2 linked regions of the Anolis sagrei genome follow. The protein of the gene in region 2 binds, or shares a complex with, the protein of the main gene of each other region. Links are inferred from orthologs where the notes say so. Each region holds a gene or a part of one and is shown on either strand. Other genes may lie near its edges.

Region 1 (6,960 bases), on a different chromosome or scaffold from region 2:
ATACACCAGCAAAATATCTTGATCTTACCTCAGTGCTAGTGCTATTGAACGCACAATGTTCTTCCTTTCCAAAACAAAAATGGTTTTAGATGCCTTTGATGTGAATTTTGAAAACAGACTTTATTCTGGATTTCCTAGGAAAACCCAAGGTCTGCAATATGATAGACATACATTGATGATGGTGCAACCAAAGGTCCTTCCACACAGCCTTATATTCCAGAATATCGAGGCAGAAAATCCCACATTATCTGAATGTGGGTTCAAAGCAGTTCAAAGCAGATATTGTGGGATTTTCTGCCTTGATATTCAGCGATATAGGGCTGTGTGGAAGGGTCCTCAAGGAAGCTAAGAGATTGTTCTGACTGTAGGCAAAGTAGTTATAATAATGCCTTCTGACTTTGAGAAAAGTCAAGGGAAATGCTAATATTTTGGTGAAATGTAGTTGAATAGCAGGAATTCAGCTTTGAATTGACTCAAGTATGTATATGTATATGCGTGTGTGTAGATAGAAACATAGATCACTAATTTATCAGTTGATCAACAAACCACATATTGCTCCTGATACAGCAGTTTAAAAAAATGAAAATAATTTTAAGGTAAGTGCTTACACATCCATGGGTGCCTTCTTGGAAGAAACATTCCTCTTCCCACACACAGGAAGGACTTCCTTTTCTGAGATATGCCTGATGGGATGCATGTATCACCTGAAAACCAAAAAGCAGGCCCAGGATCAGCACCAGGCATTCTTGGGTGGCACTCAGGGTCCCAGGACTTTTGCAGGGCTTACTGGAGAATGTTGTGAATCCTCGAGCCTCACAAAACACCTATTTCCTGTGTTCACCCAACATTTTGATTTCTCATAATATCATGTTCACTGGAACACTGCGAGAATGTAAAATGGCACCTACTAGACATCATTTAAGACCAAACTAGAATAGAGTGGGACTGTTACTTCTATTGATCTAAACCAGGCTTGCACAACCTGGCAATAATAAGGAGCCGAAATTAGAATAGGTCAAACAATTTTGGACCACAGATAGGTTTTTAGCACCTCATTTTCCAAATAAATGTATAATTAATTAATAAACTATAGTGTAAATAAACCATATTATTAAAGGGGAAGTTTCAATTAATATTCATTAATTAAACTTATGTAATCTTTTTATTTATTCTGAAATCAAATTATTGCAAAAAAAGATTACTTTGCTAATTAACAATAAGAAAACCTGAAAATGCATTCAAGTTTGTACCACTTAGTACAGAAATCATAAAATTATAAAACAACCAATGAGAATGTTTAATAAGTAGCATTAGAAACTGCATACTTAAACAACACTGAGTGCAAAACCTAGATATTGATAAATGGTTGTCTTGAGTGAGCCACGTTCTCTGCCTCAGACAAAGGTTCAGAAAAACTTGCCTACTGTCAGCATATTGGCTGACACTGAGAAATAAACCAATTTCAATTCAATTGTCTTTTATGCATATTTCAGAGGAAGGGGCGACCAGGAAGGGGAAGCCGGTTCCCAATACTTGGAAAAGGCATGAGGTTGGAGAAGGAGTTGGGGTTCACTGGTCAGCCCTTTTGCGGCCTGCCTAATTGGAATGGCCCTTCCCCTGCCTGCCTTGTGCAGGCTGCAAGAAAGTCCCTGGAGGGAGGCATCTGGCTCGCAGGCCATATGTTGTGCAGGCTCCTATTGATGCAGCCTAGGTTACTATAGCATTTGAGACCCCACATCACACAGTGTTGAGTCATATTTATTTATCTGAAATATTCACCTTATTATCCAAGACTGCCACAGAATATCCTTTTCACATATACCATTTTCAAGCCAGGTGTCTATCATAGAATCATAGAGATTCTATGAATTATAGAGATTCAAGACACCACACAGGCCATCCAGTCCAACCCCATCATATACGAAAAGCACAAAGGACCAGCTAACAAGATGGCATGTCGTTTTTCTTGACTAAGTGTAGTATCATAAATGTCTACTTGTTGAAACAAATACTATTAATTAACTCCTTTTAAAATCAATAAACAGCCTTAATTAAAATCCATTATGAATACAAGAACATATCATCTGTATATTAAGTCCTATACAACTGACAACTAGTATATTGCATATAGTCAAATTTCTAAGAGTTTTTGATTAATTAAAATTATTGATTAATTAAAGACAAATTTGCATATAAAATATGTCTTGGAGCATCAGGTTGGAGTGCAAGCAAGTTAATGCAAGCCACTTTCTAACACACAGGTTATGAAGATCAATAGCAATGAACAGATGTTAGTAATGCGTGTGTTGAACTGTTAATGCCAAATGACATTAATCCTGCTACACTGGAGTTTGTTATGAACATACAGCTTCCCAGCAACTTCTTAATTAATAGTTTGCCATCTGTGATAAAAGAGCTTATGGAGCATATGCACTTATACTGTTTTCTTCTTCAAGAAAATTTACAACATGACTTTTCTTGCATGTAACGCAGGATGAATAACAATTTACATCAGCTTTGACTGTAATTCTATATCCCTGAATTTGTACAATTCTAAATAAAAAAGCCCAAAAAGCGACATGCTAACTTTACATTATGTACCATGTGCATCCTTCAACTTCCCACTTAATCACTTCTTTACCTAAGCAGATTTGTTTTGCAAAGTCACTGAAAACTACAGCTAAATTAAAAATGCTTATGACGTGGGAAAAGAGTAAGACAGCAATACATACCAACAAATTCCCCCAGTTTTTCTTAACATCTTAACTCATTTGTGCGGCAGTGAAAATAAAAGCCCAATAATTCGTGGACACCCACACAAACTACCAAGGTGGCACTTCCTACTCTGGGTGTTATGAGGTAGGTCATTCTTCCCTGCGGTGCAATCTCATTAGGATTTAAGTGACATCCATCCTTCTATTTGGGATCCGGCCAATAACATCTTAAAAGCAGACACTGTGTGCTATTTTGTACCAATCCAAACAGAGACATAATCAAAACAACCAAAATATGTTTAGATACACTTCTACATTCATCACATTGCTCTTTGAAATAAGAATCATTATTAAAATGATTAGACTTAAGTTGAGGTTACTGTGTTATAACTCCGCTAAATTTATGCCACTATACAGCACATTTGAAATCAGAATTCTGGAATGAAGAAGGAAATGATTATGGAAGAATTTAGAGAAATAAAATTGACATGGTTCCTTTGTATACAATTAGAACAATAGTTTAAAAACTGGGGAAAAAATAATAAAAACGGAAGTAAGCTTAACCAATTTGAACAAATAATACAAAATGGAAGGGTTGTAGAGGAGCATGAAAATTTGAAAGGAATAACTAGTAAATATGTAAGATAATAATTGAAATAAAGAAAGGAAAAACAAAAAATAACATCCTCAAGGAGGTCTGGGAAGAAGATTTAGGGATAAAAATAAGTGAACAGAGTGGCAACAATTATGGAGACAAAGACATCTAAAAAAATTTATCAATTCAGGTTAAAGAAAATTATTATAAGTTAATATGAAAATGGTACCTAACACCAGTAAGAATAGCAAATATAAATAAAAACTATTTAAAAAATTGCTGGAGAGGATGTCAAAAATCAGGAACATATATACATATGTGGTGGCAATGTAAATATGTAAATAATTTTGGGGGAAAGTATTTAGAGAAATAGAAGATATAATGAATATTAAAACAGAAAGAAGTCCTAGTATAGTTTTATTATCATTATATAATAATAAACAATTGAAAAAAGAGGTTAAAGAAGCGATAACAAATTTATTAACAGTAGCAAGACTGCTTATAGCAAGGAACTGGAAAAAAGAAATAAATATACAAATAGAGGAGTGGTACAAGGAAGTATGGAAATTGGCAATAAATGATAACCTGACATGTATATTAAAACTTAAAAGAGGAAACAAAGTGATTTTGATGATGTATGGAGAAAATTTATTGAAAAAGGGTTAAAAAATAAAGAAGGAAAGTTACTTCCACAAGAAGAATTGAAATGTTGGACAGATGATATGTAAAAGCTGTGGCTTGGGGGGGGGGGGGGGGGCGAGCACAGTGGTGAGGGATAGATAATATGTATAAGCAGAAAAATAAAACTAGATGCCAAATGTTTGGTAGGTTGTATTGAATAATATGTATCTGCTGTAAAACAAACAATGTATAACAAATGTATTTAACCATGATAAAATAATAAAAAATATCTTTTAAAAAGAAATCAGAATTCTGTAATATTAGTATTTGTATTCTTGTACAAGTCATGTCCCAATTTTGTTATGTAAATATTTAAGCATCTAGATTGCCGTATCACGTAGGCAGCTAGGTAGAGGAAGCACAAGGCAGAAAATAGTATCCTGTCTGAAAAGCACCCCCCATTTCTTGTTGCAGAGGCACCTGTGAGCCCCTGCCTCTGACTGGTACAAAAACAACACACTTTCATGTATATTCATCTGTTTTGGTGCTTTCTATGAAAGGTGAAGGACATGTCAAATGAATCTCAGATGTGAGGATTAATATAAAAAAATAACTAAGATCTATCGTACTGTGGTAAAACACTACAGGACTTAATTAAAACCTCACATGGTTTTCTGAGATGCCTGGTAGAAGGTGTGAGTCCAATTATTCCTCAGAAAAAGGTGCAAAAGCATTGGTTTCATACAGGAATTCTTGTATAATAATTCTCACAGCAAAACCACTTTCTGATCCATCTTGTCTCTTGGGCTTTTCAACGTGTATAGCAAAGTTTCTAGGAGAAGTTGTCCTGGGATTTCTGGCAAAATTATTCCTTTCCAGATGGAAATAGAAATTATTCTTTTCCATGTAGTTGTAAATGGGAAGTGGATATCCTGAAACATTTCCATAGATTAATAGATTTGGTCAAAGTGAAACTTGATCCAAAAAATACAGATTCTGTTGCATGTGTCTTACCAACCGAAGAACATTTATTTATTTGCTTCCTTTATACCCTACCTTTCTCACCCCCGTAAGGGTACTCAAGGTGGCTTACAACTCCAGCAAGATTCAATGCCATTTAAAACATAGTCATAAAACCTATCCCAAATACTAAAACAAAGAGAGTTGGTGCCTTACCAAACTATGGATTCCATAGCATGGGAACCATAGTTTGATTAGGCACCAACTCTCTTTGGGATCCATAGTTTGGTGAGGCATCAATTCTGTTTGGCAAGGAAGGCAAAAGACCTTGCTAAAATTACAACTCACAGGATTACATAAGACCCTTCCACACAGCTGAATAAAATCCCACATTGTTGTCGAGCAATTTAGAATGGCTGTGGATAGGCCCATGCCATTGTGGGTTGCCTGGTGAGAAAGAGAAGTCATTATTACAGAATAAATCTCCCCAAGTTGAAGAGAAAGCCATTGAGGTTTTTATTTCATTCCAGCTGGAAAGGATGACGATTGTAATAATCTGTGAACAAAATCGACGTGCCCACTGGGCAAAAAGGTATATTTATAGCCTTCAGATTCAAAAGTTTCCATGCCCACCCCTCTCCCCCCTTCCGAGCTGGCTTTGCTATGATAGACTGTGACGTCAGCAAGTCAGCAGGAGAGCCAATGGTGGCCTGAGCCCTTCTTTGGCCTCTCAGCCAATGAGGTGGAAGGGAGGTGGGCAACAGGGAAACAATGAAGAAGTGTCTAGTTGACTGGATTAAGATGACCAGTGTTTGCTAAATGGCTGGGCGAAGACCTTTAGGCTCTCAAGCCTAGCCAGGGTTATTGTTTTAATCTTTTGAATTTACATCTTTGTGTAGCTCAGGGGGCTAGATTCTTTGTTTTCTTCCTTCCTGGGTATGGGATCCATTGATGAAGATTGAGGCTGGTTTCGGCCAGTTGGGTTGGCACAATGGAAAAGCCTGTGGTGAAATCCTAATTCCTCGCAGACAGGAAGACACCCTTTGTGTTGGGTGATTCAGATGTCCATAGGTCTAAGAACCATTTATTTATTGTTCATGCAAATGAATTTTGGTTGAGTCCTTTGTCAAAAGATTTACTGGCTCAGAAAATTGGGAAAGCTTCCTGGAGCCATGGGGCGCTGGATTCATGAAGATGACTTTGCCTTCATTTTTCAAAATACAGACATACTTACACATAAGGTATGGGAATGGGTAGGGGAATATACAAAGAATTCATAGGAAGGGGGGGGGAATCATGCAGGGTCTAAGGGAAAATCACATCAGCCCCCCAAAGTCCATTGAAGTTCACATAAGTTTGGAAAAGTTGGTAAAAAGAGTTAATAAGAGTTCACAGTTCATAGGGATTTGACAAAGAGTCCATGGAAATTCCTAAAAGTCTTAAAAGTCTTCAAAAGTTGATAAAAGTTCCCAAAGTTTATAGAAGTTGGAAGAAGTTCATAAAGTTTGGGTTACAGAGGCCTTGCCATGTGGGGCCATAGGAAAAAAACCTTAGGTTCCCACATGGGGGGAGATAAGGGATTATGGGATCATTCCAGCCTGGTATCCTTGGCAAAACTATTAACTCCCTGATTTTGAACTATATTTAACAGAGTCTGCGGGGGGGGGGGGGGGGGTCACCCCCGATCTCAACATTATCTCCTTTGAACTGGAATATATGGCAGTGTGGACTCAGATAACCCAGGGCCCTTCCACACAGCCCTATATCACAGAATATCGAGACAGAAAGCAGATATTGTGGGATTTTCTGCCTTGATATTCTGGGATATAGGTCTGTATGAAAGGGCCCAATAACTGTCATGGCTCAATGCTATGAGATTCTGAGGTTTTGTAGTTTGGTGAGGACCCATCACCATTTGGCACCCTGGGTCCACACTGCCATATATTTGTTCAAAGCAGATACTGTTTAGAAAGGGCCTCATGCCCCACTCACACTGGTACAATATATAAAATCCAGATTATTTGCTTTGAATTGGATTATATTAGTCTACCCTGCCATATAATATAGATG
Region 2 (7,909 bases):
GTTCATTCTACTAATATTATCAATACGCAAGAACTAGGGTTACTAGATTTTAAAAAATGAGATGTCACCATTTGCTGAGTCGAAGAGGAAATTTCAGTCAGTTACCAGGTTACAAAGCAAGGTTACAACAACAACAACATCTGTTATAGAATATGCTGATGACAATGTCATCTGTGCACATTCAGAAGAAGACCTACAAGCCATTCTAAACACCTTCACAGAAGCATACAAGAACCTCAGCCTGTCATTGAGCATCGAGAAAACCAAAGTACTCTTCCCGCAGTCACCAGATAATCCCTCTTCAATGCCAGAAATTCAGCTTAATAGTGTAACATTAGAAAATGTTGACCATTTCCGCTACCTTGGCAGCCACCTCTCCACAAAAGTCAACATTGACAGTGAAATGCAACACCGCCTGAGCTCTGCGAGTGCAGCATTTTTCCGAATGAAGCACAGAGTGTTTGAAGACTGGGACATCTGTAGGGATACCAAGGTGCTTGTTTATAAAGCTATTATCCTCCCAACCCTGCTATATGCCTGCAAGACTTTGACTATCTACAGACATCACATGCAACTCCTAGAATGATTCCATCAGCGTTGCCTCCAAAAAAAATTCTGCAAATCTCTTGGGAAGACAAGTGGACAAATGTCAGCGTGCTGGAAGAAGCAAAGGCCACCAGCATTGAAGCGATGGTCCTCTGTCATCAACTCCACTGGACCGGCCACGTTGTCTGGATGCCCGGCCACCATCTCTCAAAGCAGTTGCTCTACTCTGAACTCAAGAACGGAAAACGGAATGTTTGTGGACAGGAAAAGAGATTTAAAGATGGGCTCAAGGCCAACCTTAAACACTCTGGCATAGACACTGAGAACTGGGAAGCCCTGGCCGTTTAGTGCTCCAGCTGGAGGTCAGCTGTGAGCAGCAGTGCTGTAGAATTTAAAGAGGCACCAATGGAGGGTGAAAGAGAGAAACGTGCCAAGAGGAAGGCACATCAAGCCAACCACAACCAGGACCGCTTTCCACCTGGAAACCAATGCCCTCGCTGCGGGAGAACACGCAGATAAAGAATAGGGCTCCACAGTCACCTATGGACCCACCGCCAGTCCATCGATCCCAGACAACGAGGGATTGCCTAAGTAAGTAAGTTACCAAGTTGCATGACAAGCAATACCTGCTCAAATTCCCTCTTCTCCACAATCCTTATAGGAGCAGAAACTGTTTCCATTTTTCACTCTGATAACACTAAGCTTTTAGGTGTATTTAGACTTTGGCTGGACTGTATCGATCCACTTCATACTGTCTTTATATTCATAGGAACATAAGCAATGGCTTTTCTCGATAAACAGCTAACCACATCTTACTGTGCCATTAATCCCCACTCTGTCATTTACCTCATAATCCACTGAATATTTCAGGATAAGTTGTGAGTCTTTTATGTCAAACCACTCAGGGTTTGTGTCTGATGCCGGGGCAATTGTTACAGTGACACCAGCAGCTGTCGTAATGTTGGTGACCACGACTCCAGGAGCATTGTTCTCCTCAATACTAGGACTGGCATTCTCCACAGAACAGTCTAGTGAAACAAAAGGAAAGATTTCATGTCTCTGGAAGTGCAGTCTAACTCAACAGAATCATTCATATCTGCCAGTATCGACTGACTTAGAATTTTATACTTTAATTTAAAACTAGAGTTTTATACTTTAATTTAATATTTTATTGGCAACAAGTGAGAACCAGTGTGGCATTCTCAGGGCCATCTGTTGGGGGTGGTTTGAATGCAATTTTCCTGTTTCTTGGCAAGGGGTTGGACTGGATGGCCCACAAGGTACCTTCTGTTATTGCAGTTTGAGCGCTGGAGGCTCTGGAGACCAGGTTCAGTTCCCTGTGCAGCTTCTGAAACCCACCTTCAGCCCCAGAAAACCTCATTAAAGGATCACCATAAGTTAGAAACAATTTGGAAGCACACAACAGCAGTAGCAACAACAACAACGTACAAATGCTTTATAGGACATTTCATATAACATGGCAATAAGCAGATATGCAAGAGATACATCCAAATAATAATATTTTATCTGATATCTAGACTGGGGACATGCCAATGTTTGGCCTTTCATCATTCAAAATCTTTTCCTGTGCCTTTATCAAGTATACACCTTTGTAATTTGAGGTACATCTAATCCCATATTAAATTTAGATATTGAATTCCCTATTCCAGACACTATGTAAAATTATTCCCATTCATATTGTTAATTTAGAATTAATTGCCTGAATTAGATAATATTATAAAGTAGAGCATTTTTTAAATTAGTACTAGTACCTGTGTTAATATTATTATTTCTGTTGGCTTGAATCTCTTTACATATTGTCAAAAGTTCATTGTTCTGACAAAAAAAACTTTGCTAGCATATTGGAAACATAATACTGATTCTTCCCCAGGCAAGATCTCTTCTTGAAATATACAATGTATTTTAGTGTTCTTGCTGCGCTTCTGTTCATGCTTATAGAAGAGAAAACTCCACGAAACTCTGTGGGAGTTTAATTTGAAATAAGCATCTATAAGCTAGTGCTACGTATTTAAAGTATATTTAGGTGTCCATTCAGTTTTCTGGTCAATTTATTACAACACCATGAACTTCATAGGGTTTTCTTAGGCGAAAAATACTTAGAGGTGGTTTGCCAATTCCTTCCTTCAAAATATACGCTAACCTAATTCACCTGGTAGTTTTGATAGTCTCCCATCCAAAGACTAACCAGGTCCTGTTTAACTTCCAAGATCAGACAGGATTTGGTGCTTTTAGGCTATTTAGGCAATCCATATATTGAAAATATCTATGCCTTTTGTTCCTCTATGGGTGTATCCAAACAACTATCCCTCTTGTGTTGTTTTTAACAATTAACCCTGAGTCAGTATTTGCTCCTGTCTCCCAGGCATACTTACATGCGCTCTGTCCTTGGACATGAAGTACAGATACCAAGACAAAGACCATACAGGTGCAGAGCTGAATGAAAAGAGCCATCACACTGGTGGAGGGAGGGGAGGAATCCAAAATCTAAGAAAAGCGGTCTTCATTTATTATCATCATGAATCGTCCTTTCACTCTTCCATCAGGAAGTACCGTAATGCTGCAAATAGTACTTTGCTAACAGAGGAGTTTAACCTTTGCATCTTGGTTTATTGACTCACTTATTTATGACTTATTTACCATCACTCATCAGTGACTGGCTCAGTGGAAAGTACTTTGTCTTACCTTGGAGACTGGGTTGTTCTTACATTGCAGAGGCAGTCCCTGCCCAGAGTGAGTAGCTGCCTTGGGCTACGTATTTTGGGTATCATGGAAGGGTGATAGAGGTTCATTGTGTTTTGCTGAAACAAAAAGATATGGTTATGCGGTGTGTGGTTTGCCTTGGTTGGGCAGGATGCATTTTGGCTTTGGTAAGTGAGAGATACCATTTGCAGTTCTGACTTGGGCAGAAAAATATCTTGAAACTATCACCACTTCAAATGTCTACTTAGTCCACTGCATTCAGGGAGACTTACCATATATACACATACCTCACATGTAAGTCAAAGGCAAGTTTGGGGGCCAAAATTATGGCCAGAAAGCGCCCGTGCCTGCTTGGAACTGAGTGCCTCTCTTCTAGTGTAGAAACAGGTAAGAAGTTTCCTTAAGGTATGCACCTGCATGCAGCTGAGCACCTTTCCTCTAGAGTAATGTCTAAAATGACAGGAGGGGGAGCCTGGGAAGCCCCCCCCCCAATAATGGGCTGATAGAAAACAGATCTTTCAGCACCCCGAGCGAAAACAAATATCTGCCCTCCTGATTTCGGGAAGCTCCCAAAAACTGATCGGGGCCGCCACTGAAAGCCAGGACACGAAACGAGTCAAGATTTACCCTGAAAGCACAACCCTACTTACTATTATTTATTTATTTATTTACTGCGCTTATATACCGCAATTCTCAGCCCCCAAGGGCGACTCATTGCGGTGTACAACATGACAAAAACAAGTGCAATCTACAGAGCATAGTGCAAAACAGTGTACAATTCATCATAATCATAAAAACATCTTAACAAAATTATTACTACATTCCGAATCGTCTCATCGTCAAGCCACAATCCGATCTCATTTCCGGTGTTCCATTCCTATGGTCAATTGCCAGTCATTGCACTATTGATCAAATGCCTTCTTAAATAGCCAGGTCTTTAGCTTCCTGCGGAATATTAGCAGGGAGGGGGCTAGCCTGATGTCCACGGGAAGGGTGTTCCACAGCCGAGGAGCCGCCACCGAGAAGGCCCTATCTCTCGTCCCCACCAGCCGTGCCTGTGAGGCAGGTGGAATCGAGAGCAGGGCCTCCCCGGAAGATCTCAAAGTCTTCGAGGGCTCATAGGCCGAGAGGCGGTCAGTTAGGTATTTTGGGCCGGAACCATTTAGGGCTTTATAGGCCAATGCCAGCACCTTGAATTGAGCTCGGTAGCAGATCGGCAGCCAGTGGAGCTGGTACAGCAGGGGGGTTGTATGCTCCCTACATCCCGCTCCTGTTAGTGTCATGGCTGCCGCACGTTGGACCAGTTGGAGCTTCCGGGCCGTCTTCAAAGGCAACCCCACGTAGAGAGCGTTGCAGTAGTCTAAGCGGGATGTAACCAGAGCGTGGACTACCGTGGCCAAGTCAGACTTCCCAAGATACGGGCGCAGCTGGCGCACAAGCCTAAGCTGTGCGAATGCTCCCCTGGTCACCACCGAGACCTGGGGCTCCAGGCTCAGCGATGAATCCAGGATCACACCCAAGCTGCGAACCTGCGCCTTCAAGGGGAGTGCGACCCCATCCAGCACAGGCTGTAACCCTATACCCTAGGGATAACAGGCATAATAGATTGATTACTTTGAAGACGTATGACAAACTTTTCATTCTGATGACAACTGCAGCAAGAATTGTATGTCTTTGGAAGTGGAAACCTAGAAGAAACTCCAAAAATGAAAGAATGGATAGTAAAAGTAGCTGAAATAGTGGAAATCAACATTTTGACAAAATAGCTTCAAATAAAGGATCCTTCAATGTTCAAGAAAGTCTGGGAACCCTTCAAAACATTTCCTGGAAGTAATGTTTAAAATTTTAGTCTATTACATTATATTTTACACAATGAACTGGATAATATGGAAACAATAAACATTCTTGTGTATATGAAAAAGAGGATATGTAAAAATTGGATGATATATTTCAATTTTTTTAAAAAAAAGAAATTTGGGAAGGTTTTAAGTCCCCAGCTGAGCCCTGGGATTTAAGAATTATTAATAACAATGAATAAAAATCTGGGCATGAACTGAGTGGTTTCACCACATTCACCTGTAAAGTTAGTGCAAATAATTTCCAGCAAAAAGACAAAACTCTTGGAGATAAAGGTTTTGGCATTTTTTTCCACTTCAAAAGTTCAGGATTGGTTTTTCAAAATTCTGATGCAGAAGTTATAATGAATGTCTTTTATATGTATGTATTTATTTACTATATTTGTATACCCCCCCTTCTCAGCCCTCAGGCGACTCAATTATAAAATATTATATATACCATCAGTCATTAGACCAGGGGTCCTCAAACTTTTTAAACAGAGGGCCAGGTCACAGTCCCTCAAACTGTTGGAGGGCCGGATTATAATTTTTTAAAAAAATGAATGAATTCCTACGCACACTGCACATATCTTATTTGTAGTGCAAAAAACACTTAAAACAATACAGTAATTAAAATGAAGAACAATTTTAACAAATATAAAATTATTAGTATTTCAATGGGAAGTGTGGACCCACTTTTGGCTGATGAGATAGGAATTGCTGTTGTTGTTGTTGTTATGTGCTTTCGAGTCGTTTCAGACTTAGGCTGACTCTGAGCAAGGGCCGGGTAAATGATCTTAGAGTTTGAGGACCCCTGCATTAGACAGTGTGTAGCCATGAAAAAAATCACTGGGTTTCTTAATTTCTTTAGTTATGATGTGGATGTGATTCTGCTTTTCTGTAGTTTCGTTTTATTTTAAAAAATAAATTTTCTTGGATGGAAATCTAAATCTGTGTCTAAATTGCAAAATTAAATAACTACAAAATGCTTTGAAATTATGGAATGAGGTGTTTGTGGGGGAAAGAAAAAGCTTCTCCAGAAAGGCTCTCAGAATAGTATATAAAGGTCATTTGGATTGCTGCTTTGATCTCTCACTGTGGCAGAAAATCCCCTTCCCTTGGAGATTCCACATTCCTCATAGCAAATGTTTTTCCTGAGATAAATGCTCTCAGTATTTTGTAGTTGCACTTTAACTTGTGGCAACCCCTGTTATAGCCTACGCCTGTTACTTTCATACTGTGCCAACATCTTAAAGTTTTGGAGCACATGTTGAATGTTTCTTAATGTAACCCACATTGGCAGTCAACTGTAACCTTCCCAACCTGACATCCCCCAGATGTGGTTTGACTGCAGTCCCCGTCACTCTCAGCCAGCATGGTTACTGGCCTCATGGTTACTGGCCTGCTCAACTGGATAATAGGCACTTGAGTCCAATGCATCTGGAAGGTGCCCAAGATTTGGAAGGGTGCAAACCAAGTTATGATAGACTGATACTGTTATGGAGTATTTGCATTCATCCAGTTCAGTGTAGTGGTTTGAATGCTTAATCCGTTGTTGTTGTTGTTTAGTCAAAATTATTAACTATTTGTATACAAGATGGCTCAAAATCCCAGACCCCAAACTACTTTCTCACCTGCAGGGAAAAATTATTCATCACATTTTTCTGTGAGTGAGAGAAAGCAGCTGGGTGAAAACAAGTTTTGAAAGATAAAGGAAGGCTTTATTTGCATTTCCTGCTTTCCAGCACTCTGTGAAGTGAGATACACTGTGAAGTTTGGACCCAAGTCACTACTTGATTGATACTGCAGTGATGAACTAATGAAAATGCAAGTGGCTGTGCCTAAAATTAGACTATTGAAGCCCTCTAGTGGGTGGTTGCTTGCAGTGCGTCCATGTCTCTATATAGGTCTAATATTTTCCACAAAATCCAAGTCCAGACCACCTTGAAAGTCTCAAATGACCCTCATCTGGGACATCTCTGTAGGATTGATCTAATCCCTATGTAAATGTCAGATGGTATAATAAAATCATACAATTTGAAGAGGCCACAAGGGTCATGCAATCCAGCCCCCTGCCATACAGGAACCCACAATCAAAGCACTCCAAACAGATGGCCAGCTAGCCTCTGCTTAAAAACCTCATAAAAGGGGACTCCACCAGACCTGGGATGACATATTCCATTGCTGAACAGTTCTTCTTATCATCAGAGAGTTCTTCCTAATGTTTAGCTGGAATCTCTTTCCCTGCAATTTGAGCACATTGCTCTGTGTCCTAGTCTCCAGAGCAACAGAAAACTAGTTTGTCCTCTCCTCAATGTGACATCCTTTCACATATTTAAACATGGCACTATCATGTCTCCTCCCAGATTTCTTTTCTCCAAAGCGAAACATACCCAGCTCCTTAAGCTGCTCCTCATAGGGCTTGGTTTCCAAATTTTTGAGCATTTTAGTTGCCCGAGTCACATTTCAGCTTGTTAATATCCTTCTTGAACTATAGTGCCCAGAACTAAACACAATATTCCAGGTGAGATCTGACCAAAGCAGAATAGAGTAGTTCTATTATTTCATTTGACATAGGCACTATGTTCCTATTGATGCAGTTTAGAATTATATAGGGTTTTTTTAGCTGCCACATCATACTGTTGACTCATGTTTAGCTTGTAGTCTACTCCTTATCACATTGAGAAATTTCCCCCTCGTAGGACACTTCAGCCTCTTTTCAAACATGGAGAGGTACAGAACTCATCACATGTGTTAAACTATTTCTGGCCATCATGCATAGCTCTTCTTAATTGAAAAGAGGCAGA

The links. Proteins that work in one complex are often made in the same cells at the same time.
Region 1: CDHR5 (region 2) and MYO7B share a complex: the UniProt entries of both Homo sapiens proteins name them as parts of the IMAC/intermicrovillar adhesion complex. The link is inferred for Anolis sagrei from reciprocal best matches to the Homo sapiens genes CDHR5 and MYO7B.

What each region holds. Positions count from the first base shown.
Region 1 is NC_090023.1:221,037,942-221,044,901, forward strand, and holds the start of MYO7B (unconventional myosin-VIIb), read right to left. Parts: upstream 3,007-6,960; 5' UTR 2,733-3,006; intron 705-2,732; 5' UTR 609-704; intron 1-608. UniProt on the Homo sapiens protein: Myosins are actin-based motor molecules with ATPase activity. Their highly divergent tails are presumed to bind to membranous compartments, which would be moved relative to actin filaments.
Region 2 is NC_090021.1:240,588,374-240,596,282, forward strand, and holds the start of CDHR5 (cadherin-related family member 5), read right to left. Parts: upstream 3,019-7,909; coding exon 2,940-3,018; intron 1,575-2,939; coding exon 1,393-1,574; intron 1-1,392. UniProt on the Homo sapiens protein: Intermicrovillar adhesion molecule that forms, via its extracellular domain, calcium-dependent heterophilic complexes with CDHR2 on adjacent microvilli. Thereby, controls the packing of microvilli at the apical membrane of epithelial cells.